Linked DNA regions of Oryctolagus cuniculus. The protein of the gene in region 2 purifies or fractionates together with the protein of the main gene of each other region. This does not show direct contact. Links are inferred from orthologs where the notes say so. Each region holds a gene or a part of one and is shown on either strand. Other genes may lie near its edges.

The links.
Region 1: the proteins of SIRT7 (region 2) and UBTF purify together in Homo sapiens (affinity purification with western blotting; 3 studies listed by BioGRID, with this or other methods). This does not show direct contact. The link is inferred for Oryctolagus cuniculus from reciprocal best matches to the Homo sapiens genes SIRT7 and UBTF.

The regions. Positions count from the first base shown.
Region 1 is NC_091448.1:19,044,110-19,051,338, forward strand, and holds part of UBTF (nucleolar transcription factor 1), read left to right. Parts: intron 1-1,333; coding exon 1,334-1,509; intron 1,510-1,942; coding exon 1,943-2,026; intron 2,027-2,124; coding exon 2,125-2,280; intron 2,281-4,297; coding exon 4,298-4,362; intron 4,363-4,620; coding exon 4,621-4,741; intron 4,742-5,093; coding exon 5,094-5,204; intron 5,205-5,568; coding exon 5,569-5,702; intron 5,703-5,815; coding exon 5,816-5,957; intron 5,958-6,047; coding exon 6,048-6,089; intron 6,090-6,177; coding exon 6,178-6,291; intron 6,292-6,399; coding exon 6,400-6,555; intron 6,556-6,856; coding exon 6,857-7,012; intron 7,013-7,098; coding exon 7,099-7,209; intron 7,210-7,229. UniProt on the Homo sapiens protein: Recognizes the ribosomal RNA gene promoter and activates transcription mediated by RNA polymerase I (Pol I) through cooperative interactions with the transcription factor SL1/TIF-IB complex.
Region 2 is NC_091448.1:1,003,979-1,011,872, forward strand, and holds the start of SIRT7 (NAD-dependent protein deacetylase sirtuin-7), read left to right. Parts: upstream 1-3,279; 5' UTR 3,280-3,344; coding exon 3,345-3,437; intron 3,438-3,516; coding exon 3,517-3,654; intron 3,655-3,718; coding exon 3,719-3,823; intron 3,824-4,621; coding exon 4,622-4,692; intron 4,693-4,868; coding exon 4,869-4,941; intron 4,942-5,386; coding exon 5,387-5,485; intron 5,486-5,760; coding exon 5,761-5,997; intron 5,998-6,092; coding exon 6,093-6,173; intron 6,174-6,539; coding exon 6,540-6,646; intron 6,647-7,894. UniProt on the Homo sapiens protein: NAD-dependent protein-lysine deacylase that can act both as a deacetylase or deacylase (desuccinylase, depropionylase, deglutarylase and dedecanoylase), depending on the context. Specifically mediates deacetylation of histone H3 at 'Lys-18' (H3K18Ac).

The sequences.
Region 1 (7,229 bases), about 18 Mb from region 2:
CTCCTGCTGGGGTCCCCTCCTAGTGTCCTGGAATAGGGGCAAGAGGGTTTGGGCAGGTTTTCTGGATTTTTTTGTCACCGAGAGTTGAGGTTTTGGAAGAGGCGGGTGGAGAGAAGCCCCCAGTGGTGCAGACACACAGGGGTTGGAGCACTGGCTTGTGCAGCAGCCGGCCCATCGTGGCTGGTGGAGGCTGAGATGAGCTGAGCATCTGGCCGTGATGTGGGACGTTAAGGGGAGAGAGGATTATGGGTCCATGTGACCCGCTCTGCAGGAAGCCTGGCCCAGGTTACCAAATGAAAACGAAGAGCCTCAGATAGTGTTGTCACAGCCCACCTTCCAGGGCTGTCACCCCTGAGAGGCCTGACGCGCGCTCTCAAGCTGAAAACTGCTGGTCTACGTCTGCCCCACTCCCCCCCCCTTTTTTTTTCTGGCCTCCTGGAAGCTTTGGGCCAGGAAGACAGCTTGGAATTCTGGGAGCTTTTGCCCACCTGCATGCCTTATGTCAGAGCTGCCTTACGGTTCTTCCATTTCTATCCCTTGTTTCTTAGTTGCCAGAAGTTCTCTGGTCTGCCTTGAGGGGCCAGGAAGCAGGGGCTGGTGAAATGGCCTTGCCTCCAGTATTGATTTCCATCTGTGCTGGAGAGACGGCTGTATAGGTTGTCCTACATGCCCACACCTCCTCTTAGTCCTTGTGTATTTAGGGTATCCACCTGGAACTTGGACTTGAACTTGGCAACATTTTATTTTAAAGAACTATTTATTTGAAAGGCAGGGTTACAGAAAGAAAGGGAAGAGAAAGAGAGCTCTTCCATCCACTGGTTTGCTTCCCAGATGGCCACAACAGCCAGTGTCCAGGCACCAGGAGCTTCCATGGGTGGCTGGGGCCCAAACACTTGGGCCATCTTCCTCTGGTTTTCCCAGGCCATTAGCAGGGAGCTGACTCGGAAGTGGAGCAGCCAGGAATCGAACTGACACCCATATGGCATTGCAGGTGGCATCTTTACCCAGCATGCCACAGTAGTTCTCTCCCTCTGATAAGCTCAGTGCTTTCCCACAGGGCCCCAAACTGCAGGAGCTCCATTTACAACCCTCCTGCCCCACAGTGGCAGCCTGGCCCGTTAGGGAATGACGGTAGCCTGGGAAGGTGGACTGAGTCCCTGCCCTCCTCCAGTGTGGCTGCGGGTTTCACAGGGCTTAGCCATGGGCCATGGGCCTGTATCTAGGGGGAAAACCAAGGGCTGGGCTGCTCTGGGGAAGCCTGCTTAAGGACTGGGGAGCAGAATGAGAGGGTGCATGAGCTGGGTGTGATGTCTTCTCTCCTGCTCCTCACCAGACCGCTGGTCCCAGGAAGACATGCTCACTTTGCTGGAATGCATGAAGAACAACCTTCCATCCAATGATAGCTCCAAGTTCAAAACCACCGAGTCGCACATGGACTGGGAAAAAGTAGCATTCAAAGACTTTTCTGGAGACATGTGCAAGCTCAAATGGGTGGAGATTTCTAATGAGGTAACCGGCACCCCCGCCCCCACCCCCAGCATGGGCGTGCGCACACACATGTGCACTTGCTGGTGGCAGAGGTCTATAAACAGGAAGGAACAGGACCGGGAGTGGAGTTCCTGTGCTTGCTGGTAGCTCGCTGCCTGCCCTTGTGCCTTTTGGATGGGGCCGGTTGACAGCACTGGCCTGGAGTTCGCAGTTCTGCCTTCTCTCTGGGTGCCTTAAATGCTGTCCATCCTGGAGTTCTCGTTGTCTGGGATTGAGTGGATAGCGACACTGAGGTCCCCGGCGTGTGCTGACTGCCTGGGCCCCTGCAGCCGGCGTGGGGCTCTGCTCTGCTGATCAGTTCAGTCCAGTGGAGAGCAGAGGGGGTGGGGGCACTCCTGGGTGGGCTTTCCCTCTTGCCAGCTTCTCCTTCCACCCAGCTCCCTCTGTCTTCCAGGTGAGAAAGTTCCGTACATTGACAGAATTGATCCTTGACGCTCAGGAACATGTTAAAAACCCTTACAAGGGCAAAAAACTCAAGGTGAGTGCTTAGGGGGAGGGGCCGAGGGGAGGGGAGGACAGGTCCACAGAACGGGTGGCATCTAACCTGCCTTGTGCCTGTGTCCCTGTTTCCTCCAGAAACACCCAGACTTCCCAAAGAAGCCCCTCACCCCTTACTTCCGCTTCTTCATGGAGAAGCGGGCCAAGTATGCAAAACTCCATCCTGAGATGAGCAACCTGGACCTGACCAAGATTCTGTCCAAGAAATACAAGGAGCTCCCGGAGAAGAAGAAGGTGGGGGGAGGGGGGCTCAGGTCTGGGGAGGGGAAAGGCTGGGAGCGGCTGATATGGTGTGTGGGGGTCAGGTGGGGGCGCGGTAGGCCACCGGCAGAGGGATGCGGGTGCCTTGGTACAGCCAAGTAGGGTCTTGGCTCTCCGGTGGCCAGGCCCACACACGATCAGGCACAAGGCACTGTCACAGACGGAAGCCAGGTTGAGGCAGGGCCTAGACAGTCGGCGGCCTTCTGCTTTCTCCAGCTCTCCTCCCAAATGTGTGCCCTCGCTGTTGGGCCTGCCTAGCAGTTCCTCACCCCCGTGAAATTTCACTCTGTGGGCTCCTTTGATGATTGCCTGACAGGCAGAGAGATTGTTGGGATTTGGCGCTCCAGGAGCTGAGGGCCAGGAGGGTGAAGGGCCTCAGGTCACAGACTTGGAGTCCCGGGCTCCACATGTTAGATGGATGCCTTCCCCACGCACATGTGTTCACCCAAGGATACCTCGTGCTGCTCCCTGCGGAGATGAGGTGATGCCCCAGACCATCAGAGGAAATTAACTTTGACCCAGGCCTCCTAAGCGAGGATGGACACGAGCCCAGAGCTCAGGGGGTCCGTTGCAGAGACAGGTAGCAAAGCATTGGAGGAGCGCCGCAGACTGGACATGAGATGGGGGGGGGGGCGGCGATGGCAGGGGTCTAGACGGCACAGGCAGAGAACTGGGTGAAGGGCGGGGGCGGGAGACAAGAGGCACATTTGCTGGGAGATGACGTAGGCACAAGCCAGCTCAAGATGGTGGCACCAGCCACCACCCTTTTTTCTGGTTCGTATACCCTGGCTGCGGACTCCCATGCCCTTGGTGTTGAACCGAGAGGAGCCAGCTTGGTTGGGTAAAGCCATTCTGCCCCAGCCGAGTGGGAGGACGCTTTGCTGGAGCTGTCACTGAGCCCCTGCTGAGGACGCTGGGCAGCGGACTGTGCACAGCCCCCACTCAGCATGGGAGGGACAGGCCGACGGGCAAATGAGCTGAGCAGTGGGGCTGGGGGTGGGGGGAGGCATTGGACAGAAGAAACGGAGACAGTCTGGGGCCTGGTCTCGTGCCTCTACCACCCATTGGCTGGGTGTGGGGCCTTGGGTACGTCACTTCTCTGGGAGGGGGAACCGGATCAGAGCAGTTCCCAACAGCTCCAGACGGGCTTTTTGCCTGAGGAGGACGGAGCTGGGGCAGAGACGTCCGGGTTCTGCTCCTGGCGCCTGCAGTGCTGCTGTTGTGAAAGGGAGAGACGGTGCCTGGGAGCCAGGACAGGAAAGGTGGGTGAGGAAGGCAAAGAGGGAGTCAGGTGACTGGGAGGGGCGCGAGCTGATAGAAGAACAGAAGAGAAGGCAGGGGCAGGGGGACCCCAGCCGGCCAGCCAGGAGCCTGGAGGAAGGCATGGGAGGCAAGGAAGGTGATGGCTGACAAGGATCGGAAGATGTCCCATATGGGAAGGAATGTGATGTGAAGGCAGCTGCCCCCCCAGGAGTGGGCTGGGGGGGACATGCTGGATTCAGGGGGCACACAGGGGAGGATGTGATTTGCATTGCAGGAATTCACTCTGGGGGGGATCCCCCAGCCCCCCCCCCCCAGGGTTTGGAAGCAGAACTCAGCTGCCGCAGACGGCAAGACAAGGGAGTAACAGGAGCGAAGCCACCTGCCCCTGTGTGGTGCGGGTCCTGTGGTGTCAGGAAGGCGCTGGGGTAGCCCCAGCTGTGCCAGGCCTGTCGTGCGGCCACATAGAGCCACGTCCCGCCTCTGGCAGTGTGACCAGGCCGTGGAGCTGGTGTGTGGGAGAGCCCCATAGCGCCCATGTCTGTGGCTCTAAGCCCACGGGTGTAGTGTGAGGTGCTCGCGGCTCACGGGAAGTCGCGGGCCTCCCTCCCGTCCTCCACAGCACACACTGGGGGCGCAGGAGCTGGCAAGCTGGGCTTGGGGGGCTTTTGTAAAGCTCAGGGTGACACAGGCCTTGGGTCCTGGATGACCCCATCCCTCCTCCCCCCAGATGAAGTATATTCAGGACTTCCAGAGAGAGAAACAGGAGTTCGAGCGAAACCTGGCCCGGTTCAGGTAAGGCAGTGGAGCCCGGAGGAGGGCCGTGGGGCACCGGATGCGGCAAGACAGACTAGCGCCGGCCGGAGCCTCAAGCTGGCGGTTCCTGAGGGTCCCACGGAGACCCTAGCATCCTGCTGCAGGCAGGGACAGGCAGGCAGCCGTGGCCCGCTATGTTGTAGCTGGGAGGCCCCGGGGGGTCGGGCGGCGGGACAGTTAGCTCCCATCTGCCCTGGCAGTGTCCTCCGCTGACCCTCGCTCCCGCGCCCTGGCTAGGGAGGACCACCCTGATCTCATCCAGAATGCCAAGAAGTCGGACATCCCCGAGAAGCCCAAAACCCCCCAGCAGCTGTGGTACACCCACGAGAAGAAAGTGTATCTCAAAGTGCGGCCAGATGTGAGTGGCAGCCGAGGAGGAGCCGGGGAGGTGGGCGCGCGCAGCCTAGGCCCGGGGGAGCCGCGCCAGGTTGGCCGGGCACGGTGCAGGGGAGCAGGAGAGGAGGCCCCTCCCCAGGGGTGGGCTGCATGGACAGGGCCCGGGGCCAGCTGGTGTGCGAGCGTGCGTGTGCGTGTGCGTGTGCGCCTGTCCCCTCGCACCCAGGCGGAATCCCCGCCTCCCCGCCTTCCCCTCCTGGCCTGTGGGGGACACTGACGTGACCTCCTGTGGCCTGAGGGGGCGGGGGCCTCTGCGCCCCCCTCCCCCCCCCACCCCGGCTGCCTGCGTGTGTCTGACGGCTTTTGGTTTGCAGGCCACTACGAAGGAGGTGAAGGACTCCCTGGGGAAGCAGTGGTCTCAGCTCTCGGACAAAAAGAGGCTGAAATGGATTCATAAGGCCCTGGAGCAGCGGAAGGAGTACGAGGTTAGGCTTCCGCTGCGCTCCGCCCCGTCCGGCTCTTCACGAGCCTCTCTGTCCCCGACTCACTCACTCTGTGGCCACCGCACTCTGCGGGGGGGCAGTCGCTCCCCACCCCTCCGTCGAGGGAGGGGCCTTCTGGGCCCCTCGCCTCTGCCCCGACCTCCCCACCCCACCCCCAGCCCCATGAGGTCTCAGGCTAGGGCAGGGCAGGGCACCAGGCCTCCTCGACGGGAGACGGGATGCGGCAGACGCACGGCCACCCCAGCTTCGCTCCCTGCCTGCCCTCCCCAGCGGCTCTCCCCCACCCCCTGCCCCGGCTAACCCCGCCCCCCCGTTGCCCTCCGTCCCCCCCCCACACGCTCTGCAGGAGATTATGCGGGACTATATCCAGAAGCACCCCGAGCTGAACATCAGTGAGGAGGGTATCACCAAGTCCACCCTCACCAAGGCTGAACGCCAGCTCAAGGACAAGTTTGACGGGCGACCCACCAAGCCACCTCCGTGAGCGCTGCTCCCGGGCGGCGGGCGGGCGGGCAGGCAGGCGGGGGCCAGGCCCTGTGGCGGGCACGTAGGTGGCTCACGGGGTGCCGCCTCGCCTCCCGCGATCCCCACAGGAACAGCTACTCGCTGTACTGCGCAGAGCTCATGGCCAGCATGAAGGACGTGCCCAGCACGGAGCGCATGGTGCTGTGCAGCCAGCAGTGGAAGCTGCTGTCGCAGAAGGAGAAGGACGCCTACCACAAGAAGTGCGACCAGGTGAGCCGCGCGCGTGCCGCAGCCCCTGGGGCCTGCGGGCTCTCCGGCGAGGCTGCCCAAGGCTGACCGCGGTTCCCCTTACCTTCCCAGAAAAAGAAAGACTACGAGGTGGAGCTGCTGCGTTTCCTCGAGGTGAGCGTCGGGCTGAGGTCGGGGCGCTGGGCAGAGGCTGCCCTGGGGAGCCCGAGCCCTCACCCCTGCCCTCCCCACTCCGTGCCAGAGCCTGCCCGAGGAGGAGCAGCAGCGGGTCCTGGGCGAGGAGAAGATGCTGAACATCAACAAGAAGCAAGCCACCAGCCCGGCCTCCAAGAAGCCCTCCCAGGAAGGAGGCAAGGTGGGCAGGCTCCCCCGGCTCCCCTCGGCGGGCAGGCAGGTGTCGGGGCTGGGGCAGGGCTCCCCCGTCGGCACCCCGTGGACCCCGACCCTCTCTGCACTTGCACAGGGGGGCTCGGAGAAGCCCAAGCGGCCCGTGTCGGCCATGTTCATCTTCTCCGAGGAGAAGCGGCGGCAGCTGCAAGAGGAGCGGCCCGAGCTCTCGGAGAGCGAGCTGACCCGCCTGCTGGCTCGCATGTGGAACGACCTGTCCGAGAAGAAGAAGGTCAGGCTCGCCCGGGAGCCCAGCGCTGCGCCTCCCCTCGCCCCGTGCGGCCCGCACGTGCGCCCGCGCTCAGCTGGCGGGGCTGGGAGCCCCGCGAGCCGAGCCGGAAGGCGGGAAGCTGTCAGCTGAGGGCTGAGGCTCCCCGGGGAGCAGGCCCGTGGGCGGAGGCTGAGCCCCAGGCGGGAGACAGCTGCTCCCGCCCACGCGGCCGCGGGCCCCGCCCTCCTGCTGCGGGACTGGGCGTCGCGCGCCCCCTGCGGGCGGCGGGGAAGCTGACGCCTGTGCGGTTCCCCTGCTGCAGGCCAAGTACAAGGCGCGCGAGGCGGCGCTGAAGGCGCAGTCGGAGAGGAAGCCCGGGGCCGAGCGCGAGGAGCGGGGCAAGCTGCCCGAGTCGCCCAAGAGAGCCGAGGAGATCTGGCAGCAGAGCGTCATCGGCGACTACCTGGCCCGCTTCAAGGTGGCAGGGCAGTGGGGCAGGGCTCGCAGGGCAGCCTCGGGCCCTTGGGGACCCCTTGCACAGCTCATCGCCCCGTCTGCCCCCAGAACGACCGGGTGAAGGCCTTGAAAGCCATGGAGATGACCTGGAACAACATGGAGAAGAAGGAAAAGCTGATGTGGATTAAGAAGGCGGCCGAAGACCAAAAGCGCTATGAGGTGGGAGTGGGAGGGCGGGA
Region 2 (7,894 bases):
GTGGGAGGGAGGCAGCGCGGGCGTCCCTGGGTGGGCAGGGCTCCTGTCTGCCCTCCCTTCTCAGGGCCCGCAGGCTGCCAACCAGAAGGGTGCTGGGGGCCCTCCTCTCCGCAGGCCCACGCGGGCAGCTCAGCGGGGCCCGGCAGGCGGAGGTGGGCTCTGCCCGGGCAGTGGTGGGCTGCCGGCCCGGGCACTGACCCCTGCACTGAGCAAGACCAAACCAGTGGTGTGCGCGTGTGTGGAGGGCGTGTCCCTGTGTCCTGCCTTGGGTCCGTGTCACTGTTTACATGAGCTGTTTGTGTGGTTAGATAGCCCTTTATTTAAAAGAGAGAAGTTCCTTTTACGAAGTTATTAAATTATATGTTTAAAAGTTAAAGAAAAACAAGAGCTGCAGAGTATTTATAAAACTGTCTTTTAAAAAAGTCAGAACATTTGACCATATAAATGGAAAAGGAAGAAAGTATAACAGAAACTTTGCTAGTTTAAAAAAAAAAAAAAAAAAAAAATCCCTTTCTTGTAAACTTATGGACAACTCTTTGTGGCTGTTGGAGTTTAGTTTTTATATACACAGAGTTATCAGACATTATTTATAAAACTTAGTTTAAAAAAAGACAAAAAAAAAAAAAAGGCCGCAGCGCCGCCGCCGGGCCAGCTCTTTGGTATCTTTTGCAATTGTACCGAAAGTGACTTAGCCTTCGCCCTCCCGCTCCCGTCTCTTGCCGGTGCCGTGGTGTCGTCCGTGCCTGGTGAGGTTTTGTGCCGCCGTCAAGTGCTGGTGCTCCTGGTGACCTTTGACCTGTGAGTCCTGTGCGTTCTCCGTGTGCGTTTTTTGGATTTGGTTGTGTTCCTGCTTCTGCTGCGTGCCGGACCTGGGCCGCGCCGGGGCCGCCAGCCTGGCCTCTTCGCTCGTGAGCTGGGGGGAGGGGTCTCCCCCACCGTGTTGCTTCCACACCTCTGGCCCTGGGTGGCGGCATTGCTGGGACCAGGGAGTCACCGTGGGTGCCCCTGGCTGTCTTCCGCCTGGGCTCCAGCCCTGGCCCTGTTCCTGGCCTCCCTGGGGGGCCCGCCCACCACCTCTCCTGGACTGTGCGCAGCGGGCGCTGCTTCCAGGTGGCATGGGTGGGCCCCACCTGGAGCACCCCTAGGGCCTGGGCATCGCCACCAGGGCCAGACAAGGGCTGTGAGCTCGGGGCCGGGTCCTGTCCCTGTTCTCCACCTGTCTGTGCCGGCAGCTCGGGGCCACGGCCCCTCCTCCCACCTCCCTCCAGGGTCTGTGTCTTCCAGGGGTCACGGCTGGACTCTCACAGGTGCTTCTGCCCATTCCAGCTTTCAGTCGAGGCTGCTGGCCTCCCAGGCCTGGTTCAGGAAGCTCCCATGGGCGCGGGGGTGCCCAGAGTGCCACCTGAAGAGGCCGCAGCCCCGTCTGGCCACGTGGGCCTCTGGCCAGGGCCGCCGATATCGTCTCGGGGCAGCCTGGACCCCTGGGAGGCACAGGAGATGAAAAGCTGACCGTTCAGGCTTCACCTGGCAGGCAGAGGCGCCACCCGTGCCGGCCACCCCTGGGTCCCGACAGGCTCCTGTGTGTTGGCTCCAGGGGCTTGGAGGCCCCCCTGCGTAGACCCGAGGTGACCTGCGGAGCGGGGGAGCGCTGGCTGCCACGGTGTCCCTGGGCGTCCCGAGCCTGGGTCTGCTTCTGTCTGGCTGGAGTCCAGACATGGGTGTGGTGTGGGCGTGGCATCCCTGAGCTGAAATCCTGAGCCTTGGAGGAGCAGGGCCTGGCCCCTGGTGTCCCCGGGAGGGGGGGTGAGTGAGGAAGAGGAGCAGGGCAGGGTGAGCTCGCGGGGCCTTGATCCGGCCCCCAGGGCTTCTGGGGTTGGCGAGGCCATGCGCTGGGGTTCCCGTCCCCTCACTCGAGCCCCTCTCCCCTCACCCTGATTTCTCCGCAGTAGATTCTGTGTCCACGCGTGGCTCTGTGTGTCCTTCGGGTCGTGCTGGGTCTGTCTCCCACCGTGAGGGTGTTGTGTTCTCTCTTCTCACCCCCCCCCCCCCGACACGGCGGATGGAGGGCTGCGGCTGAGGCCGGGCCTCCCGAACCTGTCCGCCAAGTGAACCCAAACCTGCGCCTCCCCTCCTGCCTGACGCCGCCCCGGCCCCTCCTGATCCCGGACGGACACGCAGACGTCCCCACGCAGCGTGGCCCGGGCTCCCTGCTGGCTTCAGTGGGTCTGTGCGCGCACCCCTGGCCTCCGTGGTCGGCGTCGGGGGCCACCGCTCTGGGCTGGTGGTCAGGCCCTGTGCCTGCCGCCGCCTCTCTCGAGCGGCGGCTTGGCCAGAGCTCCCGTCCACAGCGGGGCAGCCCGGGCAGCCCGCTGCACACTTCCGCTCTGGGATCCTGTGAGTTATTTTTTAGGCTGTGGTTTGGTGAAAGGAACCAACACATTAACGATTTTCCCCCCCCAGAAGCCACTGAGTGACTCCTCCTGGCACGGGTTCGGCTTCCTGCTGGCTGTCTGGTCTTGGGGCAGGTGGGAGAGCAGAGGCTGTGTCGTCGGTGCCACGCAGGCAGGCGTGTGTGTGTGGGGCTCGGGGCCCCTCCTGCCTCTGGGCTGTGCGCGTGGCACCTGCTGGGCCGGCTGCAGGCTTCCCGCTGCACGCCCGCCGCGAAGCTCTGGCTCTGAGAGCCGGGGTGGCCCTGCGCGTCTGAGCTGGAATGGCAGAGCGCGGCCCCTCCCCTCAGCCCCAGCCCCTGCCCGCCCCTCCTCCCTCCCGTTCAGTTCGCGAGTCCCTGAAGCCTTTAACCAAACGCAGTCGCTGCGGACAGCCTTCTCCCGGTGACCCGACCCCGGGCAGCAGGACAAGGGCTGCCTGCGCGTGCGGGCTGTGCGGGGGCTGTGCGGTTGGTGGTGGCCCCCTGCTTAGGGCCGAAGCCTGCAGAGGTGACCGTGGGGTGCCCTGGGGTCCGCAGGGCGGGTGGGGGGCTGATGCAGAGCTAGGGAAGGGAGGTGCCCAGGCGACCCGCAGTGGGTGTGGGGCGTGCGTGGGAGGGACCTGTCCCCGGGGCCCCGCGCCGTATTTATTGCTAAGTTATTGTCCAGGAGGGGCGGCCCTGGGCCTGGCCGCCGGTATTTATTGCTGTACATAGTGTATGTTTGTGATATATAAGGTTTTCTTTATTTTGTATATGATCAATAAACACCTTTTAAAAAGAGATTGGCAGGTGCTTCCTTGGGGGCGGGGCGGCGGGCGGGGCAGGAAGGGCGGGGCGGGGCGCGCGCGCATGCGCCCCGGGCGGCCGCCGGCGAGGCGGAAGCGGAAGCCGGAAGCGCCGGTCTCCGCGGGGAGCGATGGCAGCCGGGGGTCTGGGCCGCTCGGAGCGCAAGGCGGCGGAGCGGGTGCGGAGGCTGCGGGAGGAGCAGCAGCGGGAGCGCCTCCGCCAGGTAGCCCGCCCGCCCGCGCCGCGCCCCGCGTCCGTGTCCGTGGCGCGCGGGCCGCCTCTCACCGCCCGCCCGCCCGCAGGTGTCCCGCATCCTGCGGAAGGCGGCGGCCGAGCGCAGCGCCGAGGAGAGCCGGCTGCTGGCCGAGAGCGAGGACCTGGTGACCGAGCTGCAGGGCCGGCGCCGGCGGCGGGAGGGGCTGAAGCGGCGGCAGCAGGAGGCAAGTGCGGGGCCGCGCGGCGGGGCCGGGCGGCAGGCGCGGGCTGAGCGGTCGGTGTCCGCAGGTGTGTGATGACCCGGACGAGCTGCGGAGGAAGGTGCGGGAGCTGGCCGCCGCCGTGCGCAACTCCAAGCACTTGGTCGTCTACACGGGCGCGGGGATCAGCACGGTAGGGAGGCGCGCGCGGCCCAGAGCCACACTCGCCCGGGCCGCGCTGGCCCGGAGCGCCGCGGGGCGGGCGTGGGGCGCCCCCTCCTGGGACACTGACCGCGCTGGACGGCGCGACTCGGCCTCCGCGCTGCCGGGTGTGCGGGCAGAGCTGAGCCGCGCCGCGCCGGTTCCGCAGCGGGAGGCGAAGGGCGTGGGGCCGCCGACGGCGGGGCTGGGGCAGGGGGAGCTTTGCTGGACGGGGGCGGCCCGCAGGGGGAGGGGGAGGCACTGCGGGTACCAACGGGCCAGGGCCCAGGGTACTGAGCGCTTCCTGCTGAGCCTCCCGTCTCCACCGCGAGTGGGACAGCCCAGCCCGGCGGTTCTCGAGCCGCGGCCCCGTGGCCTGGCTGGCGCTGTGACCTCAGTGTCGGGCCCCTGGCGCCGGCGGGCACTTCTCGGAGCTCGGGCTGCCTGGGGAGGTGGGGCTCGTGCAGGGGGGGCCTGGCAGTCTTCTGTGTCCTTTGCTGGAAGGGGCGACGTGGGGGGGTGCACAGGTCGTCCGTCATTGTTCAGGTGGGGAAGGGGCCGTTCAGAGCCCTGTGCAGTCCTCCCTCCGTGCCCGAGACACACGGGTCCTTGCGCCGTGCTGTGGCGGCTCTCGGGGCGCGGGGGCCTGGGAGGATAGTGAGGAGGGAAGCCGCACCGGGGTGCAGCTGCCCGGGCCCCGGCCGGTGGGCAGCCTGGCGCCCCCCTGCAGGGTTTCTGCCTCCCGGCAGTGCCGCCGGCCCACTGGGCTTATCTTTTTCCGAGCGCACAGGCAGCCTGCATCCCAGACTACCGGGGCCCCAACGGCGTGTGGACGCTGCTCCAGAAGGGACGGCGCGTCAGGTAGGGGCTCGGCTCGCCGGCCTGCAGGTCCTCACCCCACTTTCCCAGGCGAGCCCCGGCCTGCAGGTCCTCACCCCACTTTCCCAGGCGAGCCCCGGCCTGCAGGTCCTCACCCCACTTTCCCAGGCGAGCCCCCGGCCTGCAGGTCCTCACCCCACTCTCCCTTCCGCCGGCAGCGCTGCCGACCTGAGTGAGGCCGAGCCCACCCTTACTCACATGAGCATCGCCCGACTGCACAAGCAGAAGCTGGTAAGAGCCGGACGGGGCTGGCAGGCCCGGGCGCAGGGGAGCGGCTGCACCCTCTCTGTGGGAGGAGTACACGGCGGCCCCCCAGACAGAACAGCAGCCCCTCCTGGGAGCCGTCCCGTCCAGGGCATCTTGGCCCAGGGTTGCTCACCGCCCCCCCCCCCTCGCTTCACCCCAGGGCCCCCGAGGGCCTCCCGGGCACGGGGAGCCAGCGAGGAGGGGAGGGTCGCCCTCTGCCCAGGCCCTGGAGCCGAGCGTGGATCTGGCGTGGCCACGTCTGCCCCGTGGGAGCCCGAGCTGCAGCCTCACCGGAAGGGCGCAGACGCACGCTCGCCCTCCGGGTGCTCCAGGCCCGGCACTCTGCGGGCTGGGCCTGCCGAGAGCTTGGCTCTCCGAGGTTTCCTGTGGGGTCGGGGCTGTCGCTGGGCTCAGAGGGGCTCCCCTGCAGGTGCAGCACGTGGTGTCGCAGAACTGCGACGGGCTCCACCTGCGGAGCGGGCTGCCGCGCTCGGCCATCTCGGAGCTGCACGGGAACATGTACATCGAGGTGAGCGGGCGCGCGCGCGGGCGGGCGGGCAGACGGGCGGGCGCGCGGGCGGGCGGGCGGGCGCGCGGGCGGGCAGGCAGACGGGCAGACGGGCGGGCGGGCAGGCGGACGGGCGGGCGGGCAGACGGGCGGGCGGGCAGGCGGGCAGGCAGACAGGCAGGCGCGTGGGCGGGCAGACGGGCGGGCGGGCGGGCAGGCAGGCAGACGGGCGGGCCGACGGGCAGACGGGCGGGCGGGCCGGCGCCCCCGCTCACCGGAGCCTGTCGTCCCCCCAGGTCTGCACCTCCTGCGTCCCCAACAGGGAGTACGTGCGCGTGTTTGACGTGACGGAGCGCACCGCCCTCCACCGACACCAGACCGGCCGGGCCTGCCACAAGTGCGGCACCCAGCTCCGCGACACCATCGTGCACTTCGGGGAGCGGGGGACCCTGGGGCAGCCCCTGAACTGGGAGGCAGCCACTGAGGCCGCCAGCAAAGCGGACGCCATCCTGTGTTTGGGGTCCAGCCTGAAGGTAGGCGCCGAGGACCCGGGAGCCCGGGCTGGGGCCACGCCCCTGCTGCGGCCGCGGGCGCGCGCACGTGCCCTGTCTGTCGTCCGTGTGTGCAGGTTCTGAAGAAGTACCCGCGGCTCTGGTGCATGGCCAAGCCCCCTAGCCGGCGGCCCAAGCTCTACATCGTGAACTTGCAGGTAACCGGTGCTCAGGGCGGGGCCTGCTCCAGGGCCTGCGTGGCACACCGGCCCCTGGGCCTGGCCCGGCTTCCTGCCCGGGCACCCCGGCGCGCAGCAGCTGGTGGCTCGTGCTTGAGCCCCTGCCACCTCCAGGCCGTGTTTTGGGATCCTGGTGTTAGCCTGGCCAGACTGTAGGCATTTGGAGAGTGAACCAGCAAATGGAATCTCTCCGGCTCCTCCCTCTCTGCCTTTCAAATAAAAATGAAAATAAATGTCTTAAAAAAAAGCAGCAAGAGTCAGAGACATGTAGCAGGCTCACGTGTCCGGGATGGAGGCCCCTGGGGAGGAGTGGGGCGACTTCCTCACTGCCCTTCCTGCCCACAGTGGACCCCAAAGGACGACGGGGCGGCCCTGAAGCTGCACGGGCGGTGTGATGACGTCATGGGGCTGCTCATGCAGGAGCTGGGCCTGGAGATCCCCCCGTACAGCAGGTGAGTGGGCACCGCCGTGCCGCCCCGCTGCCACCTCTGCGCCCGATGCCTGCAGAAGGGACCCAGCCGGGGCCCGAGGAGCCCCTGTGCGCCTGTGCAGCCCCGCCCTGGCGAGCGTGGAGGGGGGGTGGTCGCCAAGGAGCCCCTGTGGGCCTGTGTAGCCCCGCCCTGGCGAGCGTGGAGCTGGGGGTGGTCGCCGAGGAGCCCCTGTGCAGACCCCGCCCTGGCTAGCGAGGAGCCGGGGGTGGTCGCCGAGGAGCCCCTGTGCAGACCCCGCCCTGGCTAGCGAGGAGCCGGGGGTGGTCGCCGAGGAGCCCCTGTGCAGGCCCCACCCTGGCTAGCGTGGAGCCCCTGTGCCCCTGTGCAGCCCCGCCCTGGCTAGCGTGGAGCCGGGGGTGGTCGCCGAGGAGCCCCTGTGCAGGCCCCACCCTGGCTAGCGTGGAGCCCCTGTGCCCCTGTGCAGCCCCGCCCTGGCTAGCGTGGAGCCGGGGGTGGTCGGCGAGGAGGCCCTGTGCGCCTGTGCAGGTCCCGCCCTGGCTAGCGTGGAGCCCCTGTGGGCCTGTGCAGCCCCGCCCTGGCTAGCGTGGAGCCGGGGGTGGTCGCCGAGGAGCCCCTGTGCGCCTGTGCAGCCCTGCCCTGGCGAGCGTGGAGCTGGGGGTGGTCGCCGAGGAGCCCCTGTGCGCCTGTGCAGCCCCGCCCTGGCTAGCGTGGAGCCGGGGGTGGTCGGCGAGGAGCCCCTGTGCACCTGTGCAGGCCCCGCCCTGGCGAGCGTGGAGCCGGCTGTGCAGGCCCCGCCCTGGCGAGCGTGGAGCCGGGGGTGGGGCGCCCGCCGCCCCAGCTGCTGCCCGCCTGCTCCCAGACCGCCCGGCTGCAGAGGTCCGAGGGGGTGTGGCCGTGGCCGTGGCGTGGTTCGGGAGTGGCGTGTGTGGGGAAGCTTAAGCAAACTGAACGCGGAGCTCGTGATGATTTAGACTCGGTGTGTGTATTGAGCGAAAAGTTTACACTTTTTTTCTCTGTGAATTTCCAGGGTCTTATAGGGGAAATCAGTAACTTCTTTTAATCAAAGGGTTCAAGAAATTAAGGATCCCTTCACCTTCGGGGCCTGGCAATTCTTGTATGTCACGTTCGTGGTGTCTGTCCTGTGGGCCTGCCGTGTGCTGTCGTTTTGTTTCCACATTAACTTAGCTCATTTCTTTTATCAGTGCTTCTCTGTATCTTAAGTTTATAATCTGTGGTTCTGCATCTCCG